Linked DNA regions of Drosophila melanogaster. The protein of the gene in region 4 interacts with the protein of the main gene of each other region in a pairwise test. Each region holds a gene or a part of one and is shown on either strand. Other genes may lie near its edges.

Region 1 (5,542 bases), on a different chromosome or scaffold from region 4:
AATTGATGGCCCAGCATTCCAGAGGTCACTGTGTTATGCAAACTGAGCAATAAAACTAAATGGGAAAGTGTAAACAGATTAAACTTGTTTCGCCAGTTTATCTGAGCAGAATTTTTGGGGGCTCGTCAATGGGAAAAGTGCATTCTGTTGAAAAGTTATCTGAAAGATTAGATATAAATGATGAAATATTTTGACGGCATGCGTTTTATACTTATTAAGGTTAAACTTCAGACGCCTGACTCATAACAAACGAAACAAAGAACAAACTACAACAATGTTTCGCCTAGAGCCTTTAAAAATATTTAAGAAGCCATTTTCCATGCTTCTACTGAACTGACCCAAACAACACGAGTGTAACCTCTTTGTAAAATGATCTAGTACTACGCCACAGTTAAGAACAAATTAAGTCCTTTCCTGAGCAGTGCATTGTTTGTTTACTCGTCTGTCGTCGTGCACAGTATGTGTGTATGTATGTTTATATATTTTTGGCTGTGTGTTCAGCTGTCTCCGTTATAAATACACCAAGTTGCACGGCGTGAGCAATTGATCTACTCTTATCACAAGACAATTTGGCACGGCCACCGGCAGCTGGGAACACAAATAACAATTTGTTTATTTTAGACAATATTACTTCGTGGGGATTTCTGCGCATGCACGTTGTTTCGATATAAATGTAAAAAAAAGTGCGACCAACCGGCGAGACGAAAGAAAACCGACTGACATTGAGAGGCCAAGAAATAAGCAGTGGTGACGTAAAGAAAGATAATCCCGCTTCCGTCACAGGACGGATAAAAAAGCATGGTAAAAAAAAACAGTCTTACCATTTGGCACTCAATTAGAGGGTGACCCCAAAAGTATGCTACCATATGCTGCAACTATACTTTTTTAAATCTACTTCGGCAGCGCAATAAATAAATGATGACCCAATGGGTAATCTTATTATTATTGTTGTCTAGAGTCTAGCACATTATGTCAGCATCAACCATTTTGGACCCTTGCGGTGAAATCATTGACAGTAGCTTTTGATGCCCTGGTTTGGATATCCATGTGACCGCACAATATAAAAGCGGCACATGACGCCAAAATAAGTGACGACACTACTAACGGCAAACGAAGGCGAAACACAAGTTGATCGAATAGAATGTACCCTAGCTGAAATGAAAGTTAATCATATATTTTAGAAGCATTGGAACATCATAGAGTATAGAAGTAAGTCTCTTATACTCAAGAAATTCATTATTTTAAGATCAACCAATTCTTTTAACCAATTTATAGCTCATTATTTAATAGATTTTTTTAGGGCCTTCCTTTTTTGGAATAGGTCACATCATTAAGTGCCTTGCATACTAATTGTACACCTTGCATACAGTAGTAAATAGTAAATATTTATTCGCATAGCGATATGAAAATTATCATGCCCATAGAAAAAGCATTTTAGCAATAAAAGCTTGCTTATGGTTCTGATGACTAAGCAGCAGCTTTTGCCAACCTGAGTCATAGACCTCTTAAGCAAAACTAGGTGACAAAACTACCTTAGTTATACCGAAGCTTACATGCCCTTACCACGAGGTGAAAGTCCAGGGAACAAAAAGTTAAAAAGGAAATTACAATTATCTAATATTGTGCCCATGTACAAAATAGTTATATGTACATTTGTAAGTAAAGAAATTTTTTTTAAAGCTATGCCATTATGCTAGAAATTATCAGCCTTTAATTAAGATTTACATTTAAGAAAAATAATTGCCTTTAAAATAATTAAAGATAAGCCTTAGCATGTGCAGTATACCGCTATGTGAATAAGTTAGCTATTCGAGCTGGTACAGTTCGAATACTTTCTATATGGCCAACGATCTCCCACTTTGCAAGTGAGAGCGCCAAAGCTCTTGGAGCTTTTACTCTCTCACCGTCTCGGTTTTTTAGCATTGCTTACCTCGCCGGCATTTGGGCTCCATTGGGGCAGTTTGAATCAGAATCTCAGTAAGCGAACATCGTTGATTGAAACAGCAATCATGCCAATCGGTGAGTTTCCCAGTGGGTGTGGGTGGAGTGCCCTGAGCAGTTGGATAATGGAATGGATAATTGGGTGAATTTAAAGATAGGGAAATGTGCGGCGGAATTTTTGGCCCACGACCAAAATAGCATTGTGTCGTCCAATTCCTAGAATCGAAACATCCCATTCTTTATCTATGCTGGGTTTTTACCAGTGAAAAATACAAGCGACTTTCACCTTGTGATCGTCCAGATTCAATTAACGGCAATATGCTATACATATTGGACTGCCTTTATTTGGCCTAATTTATGACCCATCGAATTGATTCTCGACCAAAGGTGTCCGAAATTGTTCACCATATGCGATGAGTCACTGGTCTTCGCCTTGAACTCCGACAATAATCAATAGGAATTCAGCAGGGTTGACCCTAGGGAGGTCAGACGAAAGATGCACCTCCAATGATGTCATGCGAAATAATGCTGCTTGAGAAACCATTCGTGTAATCTATTCAAAGTGAATAGCACAAACCTCGCATATATCTGGGCAAATGTTTGTCGCTCGAGTGGCAGTAGAGCCGGCTCAGAGCTCAAAACTCGAAATTAAGCTTGAGTGGAATTAGCTAGAACAATTTGTTGCGAAGAACTGATGGCGATCTAAATGACATCATGCGAATGGTGCTAATAAGCAAGCGAAAACAAAAACAGACGCTAAACATGCTGATATATGTATGTTTATATGTACGTAGAAACCTAACAAACATAAAAATAGCTACGAATTCTTTCCAGTTCAAGTATTTTTTATGACAACATTCTCATGTTTGAGGTTGTTAATTCAAACCTCAAAACTTTCCCACCTTTCAAAGTAGTAGTGGGTACAGTTGGCTCAGAAAAACGTAGCCGAGTGTACAGTTGCCTCTGAGAATTTGTACTAATATGCCATCTCATTTGCAGAAGTCAACACCCCCGATAAGTTGGAGTACCAATTCTTCCCCGCCAGCGGTGGAGTTTTTACCTTCAAGGTGCGTTCCCCCAAGGATGCTCATTTGGCACTCACACCCGCGCCCGAGGAGAACGGTCCCATTTTCGAGATCTTTCTGGGAGGATGGGAGAACACCAAGTCGGTGATCCGCAAGGACCGCCAGAAGCCCGAAGTCGCTGAGGTGCCCACTCCGGGCATCCTAGATGCCGGAGAGTTCCGTGGCTTCTGGGTGCGCTGGTACGACAATGTCATCACCGTTGGCCGCGAAGGAGACGCCGCCGCCTTCCTTTCCTACGATGCTGGTAGCCTGTTCCCGGTCAACTTCGTCGGCATCTGCACGGGATGGGGTGCCAGCGGCACCTGGCTGATTGATGGTGAGTTTACACTCTGTTCCACGCCTTTTCTATCAAACGGAAAGCACAGGTGTTTACCCTCTCTGATTAGTTTACCCATCGTAATGATCTAAGTTAGCTATTGTTCTACAGCTGCTCAATGGCATCTATTGTCTAGTCAGCTGCTTCAGTTTGAATATCGAGTATTACTATACCCGCTACTCGTAGAGTTGGTACTATTGAGTACTGATCAATAACACTTAATTGCTCTCCAAGACTATATCCTTGCTATAAATATGTATTTGCCTATTATATATACATATATGTATAAGATTTGCTAATGATTTCATGAATTTCTAACAAATGCCACTATTTCCTTGCAGAGCCCGCTCCATCGGCTCCCGTCATGGGCTTCGCCGCGCCCACAGGAAGCGGACCAGGATGCTGGGTGCCCGCCGCCAACGGTGAGGTGCCACCCAACGCCCTCGAGGGAGGATTCGACAGCAGCGAGCAGCTGTACATCGCCCGTGCCCGCCATGAGGGCGACCTCATTCCCGGCAAGCTGCATCCCTCCCACGGAGTGACCTACGTAGCCTGGGGAGGTGGTGAGCACGGCCACGCCGAATACGAGGTGCTGTGCGCCGGCGGCGGCCAGTGGTTGCCCGTGGATGCCGGAAACATCCCGCCCAACGCCCTGCCTGCCGGAGAGACCGCCGAGGGCGAACCACTGTTCATCGGCCGTGCCACCCACGACGGAACTATCACTGTGGGCAAGGTGCAGCCCTCCCACGGATGCTGCTACATTCCGTACGGCGGCGAGGAGCTGGCCTACAAGGAGTTCGAAATCTATGTGACCAACTAAGCCACGGATCGAATGTCCAACGCACTGAAACAAAACGTTTTAAATCAGTTAATCTGAGCGCTTTACAGTTCAACTGGTCGCAGAAATTTTATTTTATTTATATGTGCATTTCTACTCAAAACTGTTAAAGAATCTCTATATTATGTCGAAAAGTTTATTACATTGTTCAACGAAATTGGTTAATAAACAATAAATATGTTTAAGAAAATAACATATCTGAAATAGGCACTTATTTGCATTCATTAAGCTTGGAAATAAATATAAAATAAGCTGAATAGCTGCTTTAATTTTTCAAAAAAGTGGTGTGTTAAGATTAGTTGGATTTTGGTTTTAGTGAATCTAACAGTTCTATCGCAATCATTAATCACCTTTTAATCCATTTGTACTCAATGAAATTAGTATCAAACATTCTTTTTTTTTAATAAAATCATGACTGAAATGAAATGACTGAAATCTATAGATTAGTTTAAGCAGGCAATTGAAAATAATTTACTCCCACTCAATGAAAATCTATTCCTAATCTCATTATCAGTGAACCCATAAAACACTCATACAAAGTTAGTTGAAATGTTGGCAGTACAAGGAACATATTGCTATATATATATATATTTATACCAAAACATGTTTTCTTTTATTCATTTTTAAAATGAATGAAACATATCATATTGGCCTATTTACATTTAAATTAAGGGTATAACTGAGTCGGTTTAGTCTATCAACTATATTAAAGTCAGTAACCAGCATGTGAAGTTTTTAGGTCAGCAACTAACCTTTTTATGTTTCTTTGAACACCTGGCTTTGAAATGGCTTTAAAATAATAAAAGTATCATATTTACAGACCCAAAAATACCCTTCTGCCAATGTGAAGCTTATAAAATATAATAGTCTATATTAAATTGGTCTCATTGATTAGAGGTAATAATGTTTGGACACAAGCTTAAGATACTTATCAACTTAAAATTCGATCCAAAATATTAAAGGACAAAGTATTCATGTTCCTATTAAACCTAATATGCCTTGATTACTTAAGTTTGCCAAATATCACAAACATTTTAAATGTTGAAGTACCTCTTGAGAAAATTTACAACTTAAGGGATAGTAAACAAAAAATGAATCTGTACTTGAGATACAAATACCGGTCGCTAGTATAAATATTACAATTCAAAGCACGCGACGAAGACCCAATAAATTAGTCCGACAATTGGAGTGGAGTAGCCGACACAGCTGATAAAGATAATGGTATTGATAAGATCGGTGCGGAAGGGTATAAATACCTAGATGGAACAAGAAGTAATAAGCATTTCGTGCAATGGGAAAGTTATTGGCACTACTCGCTGTCCTCTGCCTTAGCCAGGTTATCGGTGCTGAACGTAAGTCTAA
Region 2 (6,182 bases), 290 kb from region 4:
CGTAAGGGCTTTCAACGATTCGGACAGCGATGAGGATTACTTGCTGGATGACGATGACGAGGACGACACCGATGAGGATGAGGAGTACGAGACCATTAACGAGCACGATGCCGATCCAGTTAATGGACACGTGCCCGCGACAACACAGCCACATGCCGACGATGTTAATGCCAACAACGAGAAGCCAGCGGTGCCAGTCGACGAGCAGCACAAGGCGAACGGCATCGATCCAATTCCAGGCCAGCTCCCAGCCAGGTAAGAATCTAGTCTTAGATCTGCTCAGTATCTATTTTTCAACCGCCTAGTCAAACAAAAATCCCTCTAATCCCCTTCCAAATTCGTACTTTTCAGTCCCGAGAACGAGCTGAAGCGGCGAAAACGCAACGAATACCAGGCCAGCCTGGAGCAGAAGGTCAACGACATGAAGCGGAAGCAGCGGGAGAACGAGGACAAACAGCTGGCGGCAAAGAAACGAAGGTCATTACTCACATATATTGCCGCTGGTGTTGTGGTGGGCGTGATCTGCGCCTACGCATACACGAAGCTAGGTTAAGTGCCCCGTAGCCACTAAGTAGTCGTAGATCAGTAGTAGCAATAGCTGTATGACGTATTTAGTTGCCGTAGGAGACCGATTCCTCCCCTGATACCCGATTTCCGACTTCCGATCCCCACCTGCTCGTCCGCCTGACCCGGCATCTAATGCGGGCAACGAATCAAGGACGACGTGCAACGGATCGGAAAGGATCAGAGATCGGACGGAATCGCATCGCAACGCCATGCAATCGCACACGAATTGCGGATGGCGGATTGATTGAGCTGAACGAACGATACAAGATGCATAAATATTAGGGAATTTTTTATATACGAAATACAAGAAGGAAAACAAAAGAAACAAATGAAAGAAAAGAAGCAACTAAACTAAACTAACGAAAATCGGGTAGAAATCACGTCAAATGTAGATTTTGCGCAATAGACTGACATTTTAGATCAAATTTATTTTCTACACTCTAAAAATGGATTGATAACCGACCAGATGCCCCAAACGAGCCATACCAAATGCAAAGCTCACCCTACTTGCTCGCTATGCTTAAAATATTAAGAATATCATAACTACCAATGTTTCAAGCACCCGACAACCACCCACTACACGCTTCACTTGTTGTTGTACAGCAATTTCTTATAGCATACGACCTATGTATATTTATTTATGAAGATTATGAGAAACCACCACTTGTTGTAGTACATGGCAAAATATAAAGTGCAGCAATGTGCCAAAAAGAACCGAATCGGAGAATTGTACGAAGTGTCCTAAACGACTCTTAATTTTACTTTGCCTCCCGCCTACCACTACCACTAACTTTGAATTGTTGTGTTTAAAATTAAAGACCCTGTCCCCCCTTAAACGAGCACTTTATTAATGAATCGAAATTCAGCGCCATTAAAGCAATAACTTACGGTTAAACAAAACAGCTCGATGTACACCTATATCTCGTTTAACGCTTTTAAGGAGTGTTATAATCAAAATTGTTCATTTCGCACACTCGCCCCCGATCGATCTGAAATCAAAATAAAGTGATTCTTTTTTCAAATTGTGACCGTGGACTAGTTGCACGTGGCTAGTTGCAAATCAAATTAAACTAAAATCGGTTTACTAAGTCGCTAAGCGAAGTATAGGTGTATGATTTAATTATAATCCAGGTTTTGCCATAGCGAAACCATTTTGTATTAGAACGAGAGAACGAAGAAGGCGAAAGACTATTCAATGGTTTTTCCAGTAGAGTAAGTGTGCAGTCCCAATCCCAAGAAACATATTTATATAAACGTGTAGCGTGAGAGGACGCAAATATTTTTTATATGTGTAACCCACACTTTAACAAAATTCAAGTAACCACCCCCGAAAGCGAGGCACTATGAATCCATATGAAATCGGATGGGCCCAGGAGGATAACAAATAAAGGAAATACATATTTATATTAAGTATATTTAACAGAAACAACATGAACAATACCTAGTAATGCCTAGTTAACTAAACGTCGGCTAAGTACACCAACCGTACACTGAAACAAATCCAACACAACACAGTACTATACAATATTATGCCTATGAGAGAAAGAGAAAGGAGGAGCAGAGAAAGTATTCAAATAAAGCTATACGTTTAAGACATGAAAACTGCGAACCGCTTGATCCTGGCGCATTCCCTTGCCATGTCCTTGTCATTCATAACATTTTTCATCTCTTTGTTTGCAGGCGCGGGAACCGACTCAAAAAATCCAAGACAAAGTAACGGCACAGCCCATCCAGGTCAGCACCAACACAAAGAAACAAACTAAACATATCATTTTGCATTACTGTAGCTTCTAATGCCTAAATAAACTATTTTTAAATTGGAAACCAAGTTCAGAGTTATCGATTATATATCGACACGCAAAGCTGTTGCATAACGCGACGTGAGCATTAACAGAATGTTAATGTAACTTAGTGTGACCGGAATGCGCAATATACTGCTTTGGTAATATTTTTTAAAGTTGCTACTGCCATTATAGGTAGTTTAAAAACTGTTTTCTACACTCTTTCTAAATTTGATGCAAAAATTATTAAGATTAAGATTCGTTCTGCGAACGTTCTGCAGTTGCTTCTTTTAACGTGCAACCATAATATATAAGCACACTATGTGGTATATTTTGGTGACTCGGTCTGGCAGCACTGCAGTTGATTAACATAGATAGCAGTGTTTGGTAACTGTAGCCCCGCAAAAAAAAAAACGTGCGCACGTTGTTTGATTTCTGTTTTTGTTTTTGCTGGAAAACTTAGTGAAAATATGACCAAGGTGCAAAAAGAGGTGCGATGCGACCATTGCGGCACAAGCCAAGGGTCCAAGAGTGTTTTTTCAGGTCAGAAGGTGTTCCTGGGCAGGAAAATAACAGACGTACTGGAGACCATCACCCACAGAAGCGTGAGTTGGAAATGGCGGCATTCTGATTTCCCTTCTCGTCATCTAAATCATCCCATCCCATTTCAGATCCCATCATCCTTGCCCATCAAGATATGCTTCGTCTGCACCTCCACATTCATGTCCAGCGCGGCACTAATCGAGAAGGTCCGCGAGACGGTGGACAGGGTACAGGAGCAGCCCGCCAAGAAGACTAAGGTAGCGGAAATAGAGGAGCCATCGACACAGGAAAGCGATAAGAAGGCGGTTAAGGTGCCAAAAAAGAACACCACCCTCCGTCAGCGCAGCAAGTCCATAGCAGCTTTCCCGCCAAGCTTTGTGAATGGAGCTAATACTAATACAGAAATCGAGATCATTAGTGCTTCGCCCAAGAAACTCGATAAGACCCCTAAAAAGCAGATATCTCGACTCTTCGAGGATAATCTTAACGATTCGGTTAAGCTGACGCCCGCCAAAGAGGTGTCGTCTACTAAAAAGGCTTTCCTTAATCTCTTTGGCAACGGCGGCAACGATGCCATCGAAGTACTGACCGAGAGCGAGGAAGAGGAGGACTCGGATAAAGGTCCTATCACCATTAACACAAATAACTTTCAGTGTCCAGAGTGCGAATTTCACGCAAAGTTTCCCAAACCGTACAAGGAGCATCTGCAGAAGGAGCACGGTCTTCAAAGACCACGCATATACCCCTGTACCTTGTGTATTAAGACTTTTGGAGTGCTTAAGACTTTGAAAAATCATTTAAGGGACACTCACTCACGCACTTTTGAAAGCGAGGCTAAGACTAAGGCGAAGGAAAGCAAGGAAAAAGAGGCTAAGTCAGGGGCCAAGAATAAAATTGACGCAAAGGCAAAGGAGACCAATGCTGTGAGTCAAAGGAAGAAGCCAAAAGAAAAAAAGTCCAAAGAGAAAAAGACAGAGATCAAATGTAATGTTGAAACCAAAGTGGTTGACGAAATCGACGACCAAGTGAACAACAAAAAGGGCACAGATAGTGAGGACGCAGACCAGACCCAGGCTACCAAAATCGCCTCCTTTAAAGCGCTAAATGAGTCATTAATGAAGAAAAGGATGTTAGAGAACGTGATCGACTCGGAATATACATTTGCCATCAATGGATCCAGCGCCTCCACTCCCAGGGCGGATTCGAATAATTTTCAGTGCGAGATCTGCGACTGTGAGCTGATGACCGCCAAGCAGATGCAGGAGCACATGAAGACCGTCCACAGCATCGACAAGCCAAAGGTTTTCAAGTGCCACGTCTGCGAGAAGAGTTTGGCTACCAAACAGTCGCTGAAAACGCACATGACTCTACATGCCGACGGTGCTGAAGCGCCGAACTCCAGCAAGCGAAAGATTCTGCAGGACGAGGATGAGGACGTAGACATTCTGGGTACGACTCAGATTGAAAACACGGCCGAGAAGGTTGAAGGACCTAAGAAATCACAACAAAGCCCTACTAAAGCCGCAAAGTTCACCAACCGAAAGATTCTGCAAGAAGAGGATGAGGTTGTGGAAATTGTGGACGCTTTTAAGACTGACAACACCGCGGAGGATGATGAAGGACCCGCAGAAGAAAAGATTATACGATCCAGGAACAACATTCAGCACCAGGTCGATGGAGGCATGATTGCACCTCGGTCGCCAGCTAAAAAGACAAAGAAGACCAGTCACGTAGATCTGTCTGTGTCCACAACCAATGGCAATTCGCCTGCAAAGTCAGAAAAACGAAAAAAACAAGACAAATCTGAGGACACGCTCCCCTCATCTGATGTAGACATAGTGGAAGAAATCAACTACAACGTGCGGCCGCACAAAAAGGCTCGCCTGGAGTCCATTGGTGACTCAACAGCCGACGAGTCGACCCTCAGCTGCGACCGGTGCGGGAAGTTCGTCAAATCGCGTCAACGCTTGGACTCGCACATGGAGAAAAAGCACGCCGCCAAACTACAGTGCACCCTATGCAAGGAAGTCTACCAGAACCAAATGGATTACGTGGCTCACTTCTCGAACTGTGGTTCCGAAGGTGGACTTCCATGCGGCGTAGCCAATTGCAAGAAGGTCTTCACGGAGGCCAACTTCCTATCCTCGCACCTGCGCAAGCGCCACTAGTTGCACTAGACTCCCTTTTATTTTTGTTTTTCATTTCATTCTCTTGACCAATGTAGTTTTACGTTAGCTTATTGCTATGTTAAGTATAATTCTTTGAATTTTCAATGGCTAACTTTGAAAGGGTCTATATAAAGTTGATAAAAGTCGATGAAAACTGCAATTTATAACAAGGTTACTTCATACATTTTTAACTATTATTAAGTTCAATTCAAAAGATAAGTTTAATTTGTATATTAAGACTTTATTATAACCGCATTGGTTACACCACTTGTACTCACCAAGAGTATATAAATTAGCTTGAATGTAATAAACATATTTGTACTGAGCGATGAACTGTTAATAAAAAATGGCAAAAAGCTACGAAATTGCTTGTTTCAATCAGTGGAGAGAAAAAATGACACAATATGAGTTCACTTATACATTTATTTGTCATATTCCCGAAACAAAAACAAAACTAAAATAACGTTTACGCGGAAACCAACCATTAACGATGCATTCGCCGGGGAGAGCAGAAGGATTGAATACAATACCGATGTTAAATCAGGGGAAGCATGAGTTCTCCACGGGAGTTCAACAACGAGGCGGAAATGAAAAACATTTTGTCTAGTTACACTTTTCTACTTAATGTAAACGATGATATTGATGACGGGCTCAAGACGACGCCACTTTGCCGTGAATCTCTGCCTGGGCCACCTTCATCACGTCGAGGGCGCCGCGCTTGATCAGGTCCTCCGCCAGCGTCTTGCCCAGCTGGTTGGCCTTCTCGTAGATGCCCCGACTGTGACAGGCGTGCTGGTAGAGACCGCAGAACAGGTTTTCCACATCCTCAATGAGCACCGAGTGCTGCGGCGTCGGCTGCTCCTCGTCGGCGTAGTCGAACATTTGGACCGTTTTCTGCAGGAACGGGCACTTGGCTGTGGCTGCGTTTCCGTTGTCCTTAGCCGGCGCCTCAAGACCGCTGCCCTGATGCATGGCCGCAAAGGGACACTTGGAGGAAGTTGCAACATTATCCACTTCATCGCCAGCGCTGCTGGCATTACTGGCTCTGCTGCTCGGTGGCGTGGGCAAAATAGAAGCTGATGCTCCTGCCACACCGCCAGTCACTGGACACTTTCCAGCTTGG
Region 3 (7,574 bases), on a different chromosome or scaffold from region 4:
ACTCACATCGTCTGTATAGATTCGCAGGGGAATGTTTTTGAAGGACTCCAAATCGCCATACGGTTCCATTAGCCTCCGATTGACGGCCCAGAACTGATCGAACTTTTCGTTGACCAATCCCAGCCAAAGCTGATTGTGGTCCTTCTTTTGCATAGCGGATATGACCAGGCCGCGGTGCTTAAGCACATCTGCCTCCTTCAGGCAGGACATGTAGTGCGATTCAAGTAGCTCCCTAAGAGTTGCGGATCATCAGTAAAAATTCAGTTGGAACCAACAGTTTGTGTACCCTAGTCGAGGTAACTATGCTATTTTCAAATATTTGAAACGTATTAAAAACCCTATTGTGGTACGTTTATCTTTGTGCGAAGTTGTTAATTCATATTTGGTCCAACTTTTATATGACATTTTCTCTTATAACACGGGATTTGCTTGATGGGCAATTGTTTACCCTGTTATTACTTCGACATCCACGGTGATTGTTCATTGAGACTCGAAAAGGGAAAACTATATATGATTGCAATCCCAAGTTACGACGTGTTAAAGATAAGATTTCGCAAACACGACTGTGGGGTACACAAACTGGTATGGCGATTTCTTTAATAAATACTTGGAGTTGAGCTTGACGAGCATGTCCTCGGGGAACTTGGAGAAGTGAATGGTGAGGCACCAGGGCGTGCTGTCCTCCTCCGGATGCAGCAGATCGTATAGGACACCTAACCAGGATTCAAGACAGTACCATCATTAGTATCAAATGGGCATGCTATGATATCATCATCTCGTTAATGTAAACCCCACCAATTGGATAGTGAAGTCGCAGGGGCGTTCCATTGAAGTCGAACCACACAGCTCCATCCTGGTGTTCGGCGCTTATATAGCGTGAGAAGTACTTGCGAACCTGCCAGGATATGTACGACAGTCATTGGGATCTTATAATTGGTATGGCCATTTCCATTTGAAGCCTTTGTTTACCTTGTCAGTCACCAAAGGCAAGTAGCTGAGTCGCGATATCATCAGATAGAAAGGCTCCGGCTTAATGCCCACGATCTCGTCCCGATCCGCCTGGAAGCATATGCCTATCTGGCCCTCCCAGATCATTCGCAGCACCTCGCGGTCGTGGGCCATGTTCCTTATTTGGCTTTTGTTTTGGCTAAATTATATTTCCTTTTTGCACAATACGATTTGCGATGTTACCAGATGGGTGAAACAATGCTATTTGATAATAGTGATGGCACTTGGCATTCGAAGATGGCAACGCTGAAATATCGCACGCCACTTTGCTGCCAGACTGTTTGATTTATTTTTATTCATAGCTATTTTTTTAAACACACGCGATTAAAATATTTGCTCACAGAAAATATTTTCACCATAAATTTGTAACTTAATATTTCACATAGATATATATATATATATATTTGCATTCAAAATAATATAAAATATCAAAAAAATAATATAACAAGTTTTTCGTATTGATCGAAATGTTGATAACTCCAACAACGCAATTATGAGAAATTAAAATTGCGCGCTAGGAGAGGAAAACATACCAAGATTATAAAAATATGATATTAATTTATTATTTTAGACCTAAGAAATAATTCAACCGCTTTGTTACCAAAAAACCATAAGTTATCGATCGCCATTAGTTATCGATGACGATTGCAGCAGCTGCATGCAACCGTGCAGCGCATAAATAAATAAAGTCGACTTGCCTCTGTGCTCGCTTTTTGGTGATTTTTTTTTGTGCTGCGGCTGCGCTTTTCGAAATTCGAATCTCCGTATTCGCTGTGCGATATGATGTGATGTTTACTATGAAGTGATCAACTAAATGCGACCGCGAAGCTATCGTAAAGCACAGAAAAACGGATGAATTGAAGGAAAACTCCAGAAATCGCATAGCCCAACTCCAGCAACAACAACAACAACAACAATTCGGAATCGGAGGCGCATTGTGTGAGCTAGATCGGCGAAGGAGAGGGAAAGAGAGCAGGAGACGAAGGAGAGTGGGAAGAAGGAGAGGAGAGGTGGAGGAGTGGTGCACAGAATGGATGTTGAAATACCTGTTTTGGCTGGATATCTTAATGTGCCGACCCAAACTGGATTTTCGCTAAATCGCATCTCGAAAAAGGTATGGAAAATCGCCGTATTTCCGCCCTTCTATATAAATATTTCCCCATTTATCAGGGTTTAAAAAGTTACTTTCTGTTTGCAATTATCCTACAAGTGCGTAGTTTTCGATAAATCAAACAGGACCTATGTGTTAATGTGAGTGTGTTATGTGCATGTGTTTCTGTCTGCATACTTGTTGCATACAAATGAGGCCCACTGTGCGAGTGGGAGTGAGACAGCGATACGCGGTAGAGGGAGTGAGCGAGAGAGGGGCCGACTTCATACAGTTAAGGCCATAATATTAGCATATCATTTTTAATAATATTAATATTCCAAGACCAACACAAACCCTTTAATGAATTAAGTGAAACCGTATTTAAAAACAATATATCAGGCAGTAATAATATGATGCTTTTAAGTTAAATTAAAATTCGAATAACATGCTATGCATTGATCCTAATAACTTTACCCCCACTGTTGGAGTTTCAGATGGCACACACAGCTGGCGATTCATGCTACTTCGTGGTATTTGTGTTTATGCGCGACAGGAAATTCTTGAGCCAGCAGAAAACTGGGGAAAAAGGGTGGTGGTGCAGGGGATCGCAGAGAAGGGGCAGAGTGAGGGCGAATAAGTACTTCACGGTTTAGCCCATTATGCTCATACTCTATTTTTATATTTTTTTTTAGCATTATCCAATGCAGGATACTACAAAATCTTAAGACAAATTTGAATTGATTCTGGTTATTTATACACTGCAGTTTCATATGCATATACATATACATATACAATACATCTTCTTCAGTACGTTACTAAGATATAATCGTTTTAAGACATCCAAACCGATTTAATCGAATCCCAATTTTTTCTTTTTTTTTTTGCAGAAAGCATGCAGTCGCTACTGTTTGCTATTCAAGGCCAGTCGGCATGGGATTGCCCGCCTGGAGATGTGCGAAAGCAAGGAGGACCGGAACCCCAAAATCTTCACCCTCGAAAACTGTGTGAAGATCACTCAGGAGCCGCCTCCCGAACGCCTCATTCACATTGTCAAGCGGCAGGCTACCCTAACACTGAGCACAAGTAGCGAGGAGGAGCTCAAGGATTGGATCACCGCCCTGCAAACGGTGGCCTTCTGTGACACCTCACCATCGGGGGGAATCGGGGCCATCGAGGAGGACAACGACCTCTACTGCAGCTCCTTTGTGAGTGATCATCTCTGTATAAGCGAAAACTTTCTGGGGTATTTCGTTATATTTGCGTAATCTTATAGTTGTCAAAAGGGGTATACGATGAATCTAAAGCGTTCTTAAGAAACTAACGTGAAAATGCACCTCCAATTCCATTTTTAGTCTCTGACAATAATTGGCACGTTTAAAATAAGAATATAAAAAAAACCGAACCGCATAAAAAATCCATAATAATCCACACCTTTTATAAATTTGCAGGATGGCTTGTTCATTATCACGTTGATTCCATCCGAGGCCTCCATTCGTTGCTGCATTGAACCTAAGACATATATGCTCCAAATGACGCCCACTGAACTTCAGTTGAAATCGGAGGATTTGGGCGCCACAATCGCCATGTGGCCATATCGTTTCATTAGGAAGTACGGCTATCGCGATGGCAAGTTCACCTTTGAGGCGGGCAGAAAATGCACCACCGGCGAAGGCGTTTTCACCCTGGATCACACCAATCCACAGGAGGTATTCCGCTGCATGTCCGCCAAGATGAAGTCGATGAAGAAACTGATTAGCGGCGATAGTCTGAGCACCTTGGAGTGCGGTGAGAATCAGTTTAGTGCGGCAGCTGGCATGGAGCCCGGTTCGCGAAGCCCACTGCCACCATCACCGTCGAGTAATCCCCACGGTGGCGAGTTCGAGATCAACTCAACGCAAAGCTGCATATCCCTGAGGGGCTTCATTAGCTCTAACGATTCTCTTAATAACTTCTCGGCGGGTGGAGGTGGAGCAAGTGGCGCCACAGCAACGGGTGGAGGCGTTTTAGGAAGTACCGGAGGAATCACGCTATCCGTGCCCGCAAATAGCAATAGCAACAGCAGCAGCAGCAAACACATTCCCAACAAACCGCCACGCAAAAGCCCGACAACCCATTGTGATAAATACAGGAATATTGTGAAATATGAACCTGTGGCCATAACTACGATATCTTCGCCATCCGCCAATTCCGATGTGAACAGTTCAGTGATACTGAAACCCCTGGAAGGCGAATCGATATCCCTGCCGGAAACAGCAGCCGATTTACCGCCCGACTTGCCGCTGCGAAATGAGAGCGCCTCGAAAGCACCGCCTCCGGAGCGGGATTACGAGTGCATCGAAAATATCACAGAGGCGTGGCGCACAAGGGGCGTGGGCGATGTTAGGCACAGTGAACGTATGCCCATACTCTGCGATACCTCAGAATTTGTACGCCAGCGATCAGTATCGAAATCCACCTGTGGCAGCCAAAATACACCCAAGATCATAGACATCGATATCGGTGAGGGTTGCACTAGCGCCACATCCATTAGTGAATCGAATTACGATCGTTTAGACTTTCTATCGCCGAACAATAAGACATCGAGTGGCTATAAGACCATTGTGAATGTCACACCCGGTAATCGCATACGATGCAGTCCACCGCCACCCAATGAATACGAATTGATCGCTAGTCCCGATACGGAAAGCTTCCGTAAAGCCGATGACAGTCATCGCGGTTACGGGGTGCTGCGAAAGGCTAGCACCACTACGAACAATAATAATCTAGGAATCTCCAATAGCAATATCAGCGGCGGTAGTAGCACCATCACAACTGCAACGGCCAACAAAGGCGGCAATCTCGAGGCGGCAGCCATCGATCATCGCAGCTATAATGGCCTCAACTACACAATGGTCAGCAAACCGAAGCGAGTGTAAAATATTTAAGGATTTCAGATCCGATAGCAAGGATCCAGAGATCCTGGCATCGAACTGGGTGCAGTGGGGTTTTGGGGTGGATCGGGAGGAGATAGTCCTAGTTTTTATTTGTCCCAGAACTGTTGCTGTTTTCAATTTAATTCAACACAACTTGTTGACATGTTAATTTGGATTTTCCCAGTAGTCAAATTCATGACTATTTCGTTATTGGACGACGCCAGATGAATAAGCTTGTGTGCTTTTCGCGATACATTTTAAGTGTTGCGATAACAAATGTAAATGTATGTTCAAAAAAATTTAAAAAACAAAATTGAAAACAGTAACGTGCCAGTAACTTTTTACATAATTTCATACATTTTGAGTATAAGTGAAAAAGAAGAGACTGCCGAGTGCCTTACAGTTCTACAAAAAGAAAGAAATTCCTGGCTGGAAATCGAGGGAAGGAAGTGCGTCGAATCTCTAAATCCCAGAATTTGTCCTTCCCTTTGCCAAGCCAAAAACAAATACCATTCGAATCGTTCAATTTTTTTTTTTTTTGTAATTGTTTTTCGTTAATTATGTTAAATTCGTAATCTGTGATTGTATTGTTAATTGTGAAACTGTTACATTTTTAGCAAGCACTGCCCGCCACTTGATGATCGCACTCGAAAAATTCCCCCGGCTCTTACTTAAAATGTAGTGTTAAATTAAAGCAAGAGAAAAATGAAACTCAATCGAATCATGGACGTAACGAAAATTTACAAAATGTGTATGCGATTTATGCTAAATATATGTGTTTTTGTATATTTAAAGGAACTAGATTTTAAATACACTGCAATTGTACTTGTTTCCGTTTATCCGTCCGTCTTCTCAAGGTTTTGATGCCATATAAATCGGTTATTCGAATTGTTATTCCTATACGTTTTTGTATGATAGATCATATAGCTGCCATAGGAACAAACGGTGTAATGCCATTATCTCAAAAATCACCCAAAATAGTTGACTCTTATTTTTTTTTTTTTTGCTCAATCTTAGACTGTAAATATACAATAGGTTTCTTAAGTGTTGTTTTCGATTGCACCTCCTCTCAATAACCCAAATAAGAAACCCGCCCCATCGTTACCCCATGCACGTTCGAGTTCTCAAGCCAGGATTGTTGTAAACGACAGTTTTGAGTATTATGCAAAGGTCACAAAAAAAAAAAAAAAAAATTTATATAAATTAAAACGAACAAACGAAGGCGAACACAAATAAGAAAAATACCAAAAGAAAAATAGTGACGTTCATTTTACTTGAAATATATCATCTTTTTTTTTTTACTTACCTTACGTTTACGATTATGACTATTGTAGTTATTAATTTTTGTGTCTGCAAACTATTATTGTGTAAATAAAGACCAACAAAAAATCAAACAAATCGAATTGAACGACTTTCATTTGTGTCCACTCAAGTATGTCATGTTACGAATCTCAGAATCGTTTTGGCTTTTCAAGCGATAGCAACTGAAAATCTGAGTTAAATTTTGCTCTTTGTACTATTATTTAAAATAGCTGCATTCGCGCACACACCATCAAATAATCCATAAAAAAAAAAAAAAAACAAAAAAAAAACAGTAAGATGCTGCTACTTCGCCGTTGCCACAAGTTAAAGTTGCGTCCATTGGCCCGTCTTTGCTCCGCCGAATTGATACATAAGGTAATATATATAGGTAGATATATATATATATATAATATTTATGTAATTGCAATTCCACAATTTCTATTTAATGTTTGCAGGATGGCTTCATCGAGAAGCTGCGCCATAGTTTCGATGAAGAGGAGCGTAGTAATGTGGTGGTGCCCACGTTCAAAAAGGCTATGCTCTATCCGGATGAGATCGCCGTGAAAGACATCAATGGGGAGTACACTTATTTTCAATTGTATATGGCCGCCAAACGTCTGGGCATTCAGATCTCAAATATATGTGGTAAGTGACAAACCATTTTTCCGGACGTTCAATTTATTTACGGTTCAATTTCAAAAAGTTTGCAAATTCTTCTCTTTTTTCAGGCGGCGCCGCGCTTTCGAATGTAACATACTTGTGCTCGAACAACGCCCTGTGGATAGCTATACAATGGAGCTGTTGGATTTCCGGACAAGTGGCAGTTCCACTGGAATCCGGCCAGGCGATAGATCAATTGCAACGGCAGGCATCGAACTGCAAGACCAAGCTACTGATAGCCACTAAGGAATTTGAGTCACTTGCCCAGGAATTGTCGCAGGGTGTGAAATCAGCTACCATCATATTGGATCACTCATTTCTCCCGACGGCGGAGAGTGTATCCTCGACATCGATGTATGCCAAACAGCTGGTGGCGATCCAGGGTGTTATCGTAACGGAAAATACGTTTCCAAACGATTTCTATTCCAAGGCACCAGCCATGCTGATCTATACGCCCAATGCGGTCAATAGTCCCAAGCCAGTGTTGTTGACCCATCGGAATATCGAAGCTCAGATGCGATGTTTGATCGGAACTTGGCATTTGGGACCTACAGACTGTATGCTGCCAATACTATCCATGAATCGAATGCATGCCGCCTTGG
Region 4 (5,732 bases):
CGCATCCCGTTGAACAGTGGAAAGTGGCAGTGTAGCGGCTCCTGAAACCGCACGTCCAGCTGGCCGCCACCTCGCTCCTCTGCGATGTCAATCAGCATGGCTGCTCCGTAGAGCAGACGGAAGATGCCCAGGGCAGCTCCATCTACGGGTCTGTTTAGCCAGCTGGTAAAGTTGGTCAGGCTAGTGAAGTTGCTCAGATCGTGACCGAGGCAATCTCGAAAGAATGCGTTTTGAGGAAGGAAGGACTTCTTGGCACTCTTGTGATTTACATCTGTGGGGAATTCTTCCGACGACCTAGGTGTATCTTTGTGCGGAGTAGCGTCCTCTGTGGCACTGGGTTTCGTGGGCAGCTTTCGCTTGGAGTTGGCCATTCTGCTGAATCTTGAATCTGTAAAGAATGCGAAAGAACACGTCCTTTGCAAGTATAGTAAACGTTATCCTTACAGATCTGCCCATAGATGACCCAAAGATCAATCCCCTCGAATGGTTGTTTGGTATTTAAGTTTTGTAGAATTTATTGAAAAAGTTGACATAAATACATGCATGCATATTGTTGTATACTAAATATATAATATATGTGTTTTACATTTCGTTTGCTGACTCTTGCGTAAATATCTACGGTTCTGTTCGGATCGCTGGCGTGGAGTCCACGGAAAATATTGCTGTCGGATCGGTGTAAAAAAATAGATCAATTACGAAATGTACATCCATTATACTCGGTCAGTGAGTTATTATTGCAACGGATTTGCCCAGCTTCGTTTCCTCTAGTTTCGTCTCTAGTCCTGTCCGTGTGGAACGTGTGTGGTAACTGTGATAACTGCCATCCGGGCCGGCGGACATCCCAACTGGGAGTGCCGGCCGTCGAAAACGCAAATGCATATATATATATACTTTCGATCTGAATCTGAATGGGTCTAGCTGCTGGCCAGTGTCCTGTGCAGTGGTTCGCAAAATGTCCAAACGTCTTTGGGAACAGGAACAAGCTTTGAAAATGCCTCAAACTACATACATATACGAATACAATATAAGCCGTCGTCTGCTTGAATATAGGTTTTGATATTGGTTACGGTTAAGTACTTAATGTGATAGGTAGTCGCACACGCGTCGTAGTAGAATCTCCGTAGGTCTGGTCGATCCGTAGGATCCCCACACCCCGGAAGTGAGTTGGAAAATGAAGATGAAGGGAGAACCTCGGTGCCTGGATTGACTGGGTTGAATGTTTGATTGGTAAATGGTTTAAATACGCGCCTGAATAACCGCTTTCGGTGTGTGTGTGTGTGTGTGTGTGTGTGTGAGTGTCTCTTTAAGTACGTTTAGTTGGTTTCCTTAGTTTTCTCGTTTTGTTTTCGGTTTACTTTAATTTAAGTACGACAGTAATGCATAAATGACTAATATTTTTTGCTTCACATCTATTTTACTTGTGAGTTTGCCATTAAAATACTTTTGGTTTTCTTTATCGATTTCATTTCGTTATTTACGCAACGCTAAAACATTTTAAAATGCATTTTCAAAGTTAATTCAATAAATATGCTCTTGGTTTTCCATTAGATAGGTTCTGTAAGCTTTTAAAGATCTAGACAATGTTTTCGAGTGTCGAAAATTAGCATACAATGGGGGCACATAGTTGCTCCTCCGTCTGCTGCTCCATCAATCAGCCCAAGTCGGCGCACTCGGGGGAATCCGCGGTGTGCTGCAGTCCGTATAGCAACCCTTGTTTGCCAGGCCGCGATGCAGTTCCTCCTCTTCCTCCTCCTCCTGCTGCTGCTGCTCGTAATCATTCATCCGCTCCCTGCGCAGGCGCACTCTCTCCCTTGGCTACCTGCTCTCCAGCTGCTCATCCTCCTCATCCTGCTCAGCCTGTCCTATGCTCCTGCTTCACCCTCGCCCGGTCACCGCTCTCCCGGCTGCCGGGCCCGTTCCTCTAGAGGCGATTCTGGTTGAGCTGGGAGCGCGGAGTGAAGGGACTGACCATCACGCCGCTGGGCCAGATGGCCTCGTTGAAGAGCTCGTTGAAGCGGTAGTCCGGAATGGAGATCTTGAACTTGCAGTACGACAACTGCGACAGGTTGGCATCGTTCTTCACCAGCTTGGTGCACTTGACCAGGTTCTTGTTGATCTTCAGCTCCTCGGCCAGGTGATCGATCACGTCCTCCTCGCTGGTGTTCGTGGCGAACTTGCCCACCTGCACCCAGCGCCCGTAGTCGCAGACCACTTGCAGTCGGTCGGAGTTACAATTGTTTCCTACCACAATGAGGTTGTTCTGCTGCGGATGCTTCTTCCCGTCCAGTCCGCCACCCAGGCCGCCGCCACCCACGCCGGCGGCCGAGGCGCCCAATGCCTGAAGCGGCTGGTTGCCAAACTGGAAGTACTGCTGGTACATACGGCCCTGGATCTGGTTGACCCCGTTGCACACCTTATTGACCTTTTCCTCGATGGTGTGCAGCTTGGCCGCGAAGGCTCGTGGCGACTGGTTTTTGCACTCGTCGCAGTGAAAGGATATCATCGAGTTCTTCTGGATCGCCTCGAAGACCGCGTCGTCGATGTTGACGCACGTGCGGTGGTACCTTCTCCGGCAGTCCTCGCCGCTGCACCCGATGCTCGTGGCCTCCTTGGCGGCGATCGATTTTTTGCACTTTGGGCAGTTATTGTTGTCGGCCATGGTGACTTTGGTTGGTTGATTGGTTAGTTGGCTGGCTGGTTAGTTGGTTGGTGACTATCGATTTCGATTCTGAATCCGAACCCGAGTCTGATTCAAGCAGGCGGAAAAAGAGAATTCGAACTTTCAGGAAAAAACACACGCACACTGTGGAGTCACACAGTGGGTATATACACTACGGCCACAGCAACAACGGCAACAGCAGCAGGCAGCAGCAATAACAACAAGCGAGAAATTCGAGCGAAAGTCGCCTCCTCTCCGCTCCACCCTCTCTCACTCTTCTTCCTGTGTCTGCGTCCGTGTGTGTGTGTGTGTGTGGCGAGTGCTGTGTGTGTGTGTGCGGGAAGAGTGCTGAAATCGGGAAAGAGAAAACACGCAGACGACCGAAACTTGACAACCGCACGCTCCGAAGTTTGCAGACTGACTGTGCGCGAGCCACCGATTGCGTTTCCGAATTCGAGACCAGGTCCGCCGATTCGGATTCGGAATAGAAGTCGGAATCGGATACACTCGGCACACCGTGCAATCCCAACACCACATGCAACCCCCGATAAAGCTGCCACGCCAGGGGTGGCTTTAACCACTATTCTCGCCATATGATTGACCAGCCGCCGACCCGACTGGCAACCAGTTTTGTTCTCGCCAGCACTCACCCCCAGTGCCACTCGATTGGGGCTCCTCTGCACGACAGTGTTGGAAATAGGGGTAAGTGCAGTGTGTGCAGTAGAAGGATTGAAACACCGTTACACCAGTGATTTTAAGGTTATATGTTTTTTTCACATTTTATACATTTGTATATTTAACTGGCCAGATTGATGAAACATAATATAATCTTGGATATGATATGTTAGCATAACATTTTTACTGTAGTTTGGCATCGCTTTTATGCTGTATAATTATAAATCGCATATTCTAAAGATTTGTATTGTATATGATAGATTGTCCTTGAATGTGGAACTAGAATTCCAAAATAATACTTTAAATACTACCATGCTTTCGGAAGTAGCAATAACTTTACTTATAGTACAAATCGTACGAAGAGCACTACTTACTTTGTGTTGTTATGGCCAATTAAAGCGGAAATGGGGTCAACTTTACATACAAGTCGTTATATCAAATCCCCGGCTTACAGTCACTTCTGCTCTGCTCACAATCGCTTTTCAAGGCAATTAATCAAATTCACACCCGTAATTTGCTGCAGTTGGGGCAGTAATTGGGGCCGTTATACTGCTCCCTGCAGCGCGCCACCCGCCGAGTGCAACTGGCAACAGTTGGCCGTTTCCCGGATGAACTCTCACCTGCGGACGCAGCGACTGGGAAAAGGGAATCGCGAGCAACACGGTCCGCCAACTGAGGCTGTGCGCACGAGCTGCGTGGTATTTATACGCCACTCTGCTCCACTCGGAGATGTGTCCCTTCTGCTTTTCCTTTCCCTAATCCTTGGTGTCGCAGAGGGGATGATGGCCAAGTGATGTGGGCGGAAGTGGGGGTGTTTGCGCATGTCCTTGCCGGGAAATGGCATCGAAGTTGATAACAATAAACAAGTGATTTTTCGTTGACTGCGAGTTGAGACCTCAGAGTTACCAGGAATGCAGGGACTTACAATTATGCATTTTTCAAATCGATTTTTAAATATGTTAGCACATATCAAGTATACATACGAGTGGAACTCGCAATTTAAATCTATAAAATTTGTAGAACACCAACTATTTGAATAGCAAGTTTCTAATAGAAACCAATATACCCCTGGGAAAAAGTTGGGAGGTGTTAGAATGGCAGGAAAATGCAAATAAAATTTGCAGGTGCTGCGGCAGCAGCTGTTATTGTTTGCCATCCGCCGCCAGGATTTGCCTGGCGGACACCTGCGGTAATTGGGTTTCATTAAGTGCTGGTTGCCGGGCGGCTTTGGTCCTGTTCCGTCGCAGGGGCCATCGATTCCTTTGTGGAGCCTTGTTAGCGCCGCTCCAATTTCGCGTCGCCTGCATTGTCAATAGATTTTAATCAGGTGTGGCAAGTGTGTGTGTGTGTGTGGTAAATAGGCGCCTGGTGCTCCCCCACTTGTCTGACATAAGCGTAGGCTCCCCACCGCAGACGGGTTTCTATTTCCATTACCCTGTTTGCACGCTGTCTGCGCCCCAATTGGTATTTATGTATGCAGACCAAGTGCGCAGTTTAGTGCGCTGGATAGTATGCTACACTTTTTGTGTGCTCCTATTTTTAGGCAGCGCATCCTTTGTCGCCCAATTTGGGAGTTAATCTGGTTCACGAGCTTGGAGAACATGTCAGCATTGGGAAATTTCCACATAATTAATATTTAAAACAATGAAGTTATTGTTTTCATTTAAATACCCACCTACTTCAATCAATATGCTTACCCAGCTTTAGAAAACACGTTGGTTTTGTTTTTATTTATTTATTTAAATAATTATGTATTTTCGGGGTGCAATTAATCATTAAATTAATTAGTAATATTATTGTTTATATACGGTTCATATATATATATACTCTCATTAGCCGTCTGTTGCTTTCGGGGATTCTTATAGAGTTTTTCTTTGTTTTGTGTGTCCGTCTTGGTAGACGGGAATTACTTCGGAATTACTCCGCCGCCCAAAAGGACTCCGGGAAATCGCAATGCGATGCCAGGAGCTCCAGTGGGCTCTCCGTACTCAGGGGCTTCATGGGTGTTGTTTCTGTGTATACAATTGTTTTCTTTTCGGGTCTGCTTAAAATCCAAACAAAAATCGAAACTCTTCTAAACATTTGTCATTGGTTATTACATACATATATTGATTTATATCTGTTAATGGTTATATGCATGTGAAGTGCCTGGGTGAGTTGAGATGGACATTGAACGAGATTGATTCTAATAAGCTTTAAGGGCGACATATTGTACACGCTACGAATATTGCTAAAAATACCTGCATTCGGATTTGGAATTGGATTTCGATTTCGTTTTCGCCATTAATCTTTGGTTTTTTCTCTAATTAATTTCGATTTTGTTCGTGCCCCAATGTGTTGGTAGGCAAAGCACTTTGGGCAGGCGCTTGTAGAATCAATTAGTTAATACATTAAACGT

What was found.
Region 1: the proteins of CG13928 (region 4) and CG10527 interact in a two-hybrid assay, tested with the Drosophila melanogaster proteins (one large-scale study listed by BioGRID).
Region 2: the proteins of CG13928 (region 4) and indra interact in a two-hybrid assay, tested with the Drosophila melanogaster proteins (one large-scale study listed by BioGRID).
Region 3: the proteins of CG13928 (region 4) and Dok interact in a two-hybrid assay, tested with the Drosophila melanogaster proteins (one large-scale study listed by BioGRID).

The regions. Positions count from the first base shown.
Region 1 is NT_033778.4:21,069,202-21,074,743, reverse strand, and holds CG10527 (uncharacterized protein), read left to right. Parts: upstream 1-1,954; 5' UTR 1,955-2,009; coding exon 2,010-2,019; intron 2,020-2,848; exon of another isoform or gene 2,849-2,940; coding exon 2,941-3,342; exon of another isoform or gene 3,343-3,683; coding exon 3,684-4,162; 3' UTR 4,163-4,376; downstream 4,377-5,542. Other genes in the region: Cht9 (chitinase 9), read left to right, coding at 5,472-5,532.
Region 2 is NT_037436.4:1,338,699-1,344,880, reverse strand, and holds indra (indra), read left to right. Parts: upstream 1-2,477; 5' UTR 2,478-2,489; coding exon 2,490-2,509; exon of another isoform or gene 2,510-2,811; coding exon 2,812-2,953; intron 2,954-3,019; coding exon 3,020-5,059; 3' UTR 5,060-5,421; downstream 5,422-6,182. Other genes in the region: Ptp61F (protein tyrosine phosphatase 61F), read left to right, coding at 1-255, 352-553; Hmbs (hydroxymethylbilane synthase), read right to left, coding at 5,711-6,182. UniProt on the Drosophila melanogaster protein: Required for rDNA copy number maintenance and non-random sister chromatid segregation (NRSS) following unequal sister chromatid exchange. Binds ribosomal DNA (rDNA) preferentially binding to intergenic spacers (IGS) regions on both X and Y chromosomes.
Region 3 is NC_004354.4:7,322,551-7,330,124, forward strand, and holds Dok (downstream of kinase), read left to right. Parts: upstream 1-1,663; 5' UTR 1,664-2,038; coding exon 2,039-2,122; intron 2,123-2,985; coding exon 2,986-3,303; intron 3,304-3,546; coding exon 3,547-5,013; 3' UTR 5,014-6,256; downstream 6,257-7,574. Other genes in the region: Atg5 (Autophagy-related 5), read right to left, coding at 7-232, 608-713, 796-895, 970-1,122; Acsf3 (Acyl-CoA synthetase family member 3), read left to right, coding at 6,610-6,687, 6,768-6,957, 7,041-7,574.
Region 4 is NT_037436.4:1,625,291-1,631,022, forward strand, and holds CG13928 (uncharacterized protein), read right to left. Parts: upstream 3,088-5,732; 5' UTR 2,660-3,087; coding exon 1,922-2,659; 3' UTR 501-1,921; downstream 1-500. Other genes in the region: GC (gamma-glutamyl carboxylase), read right to left, coding at 1-371.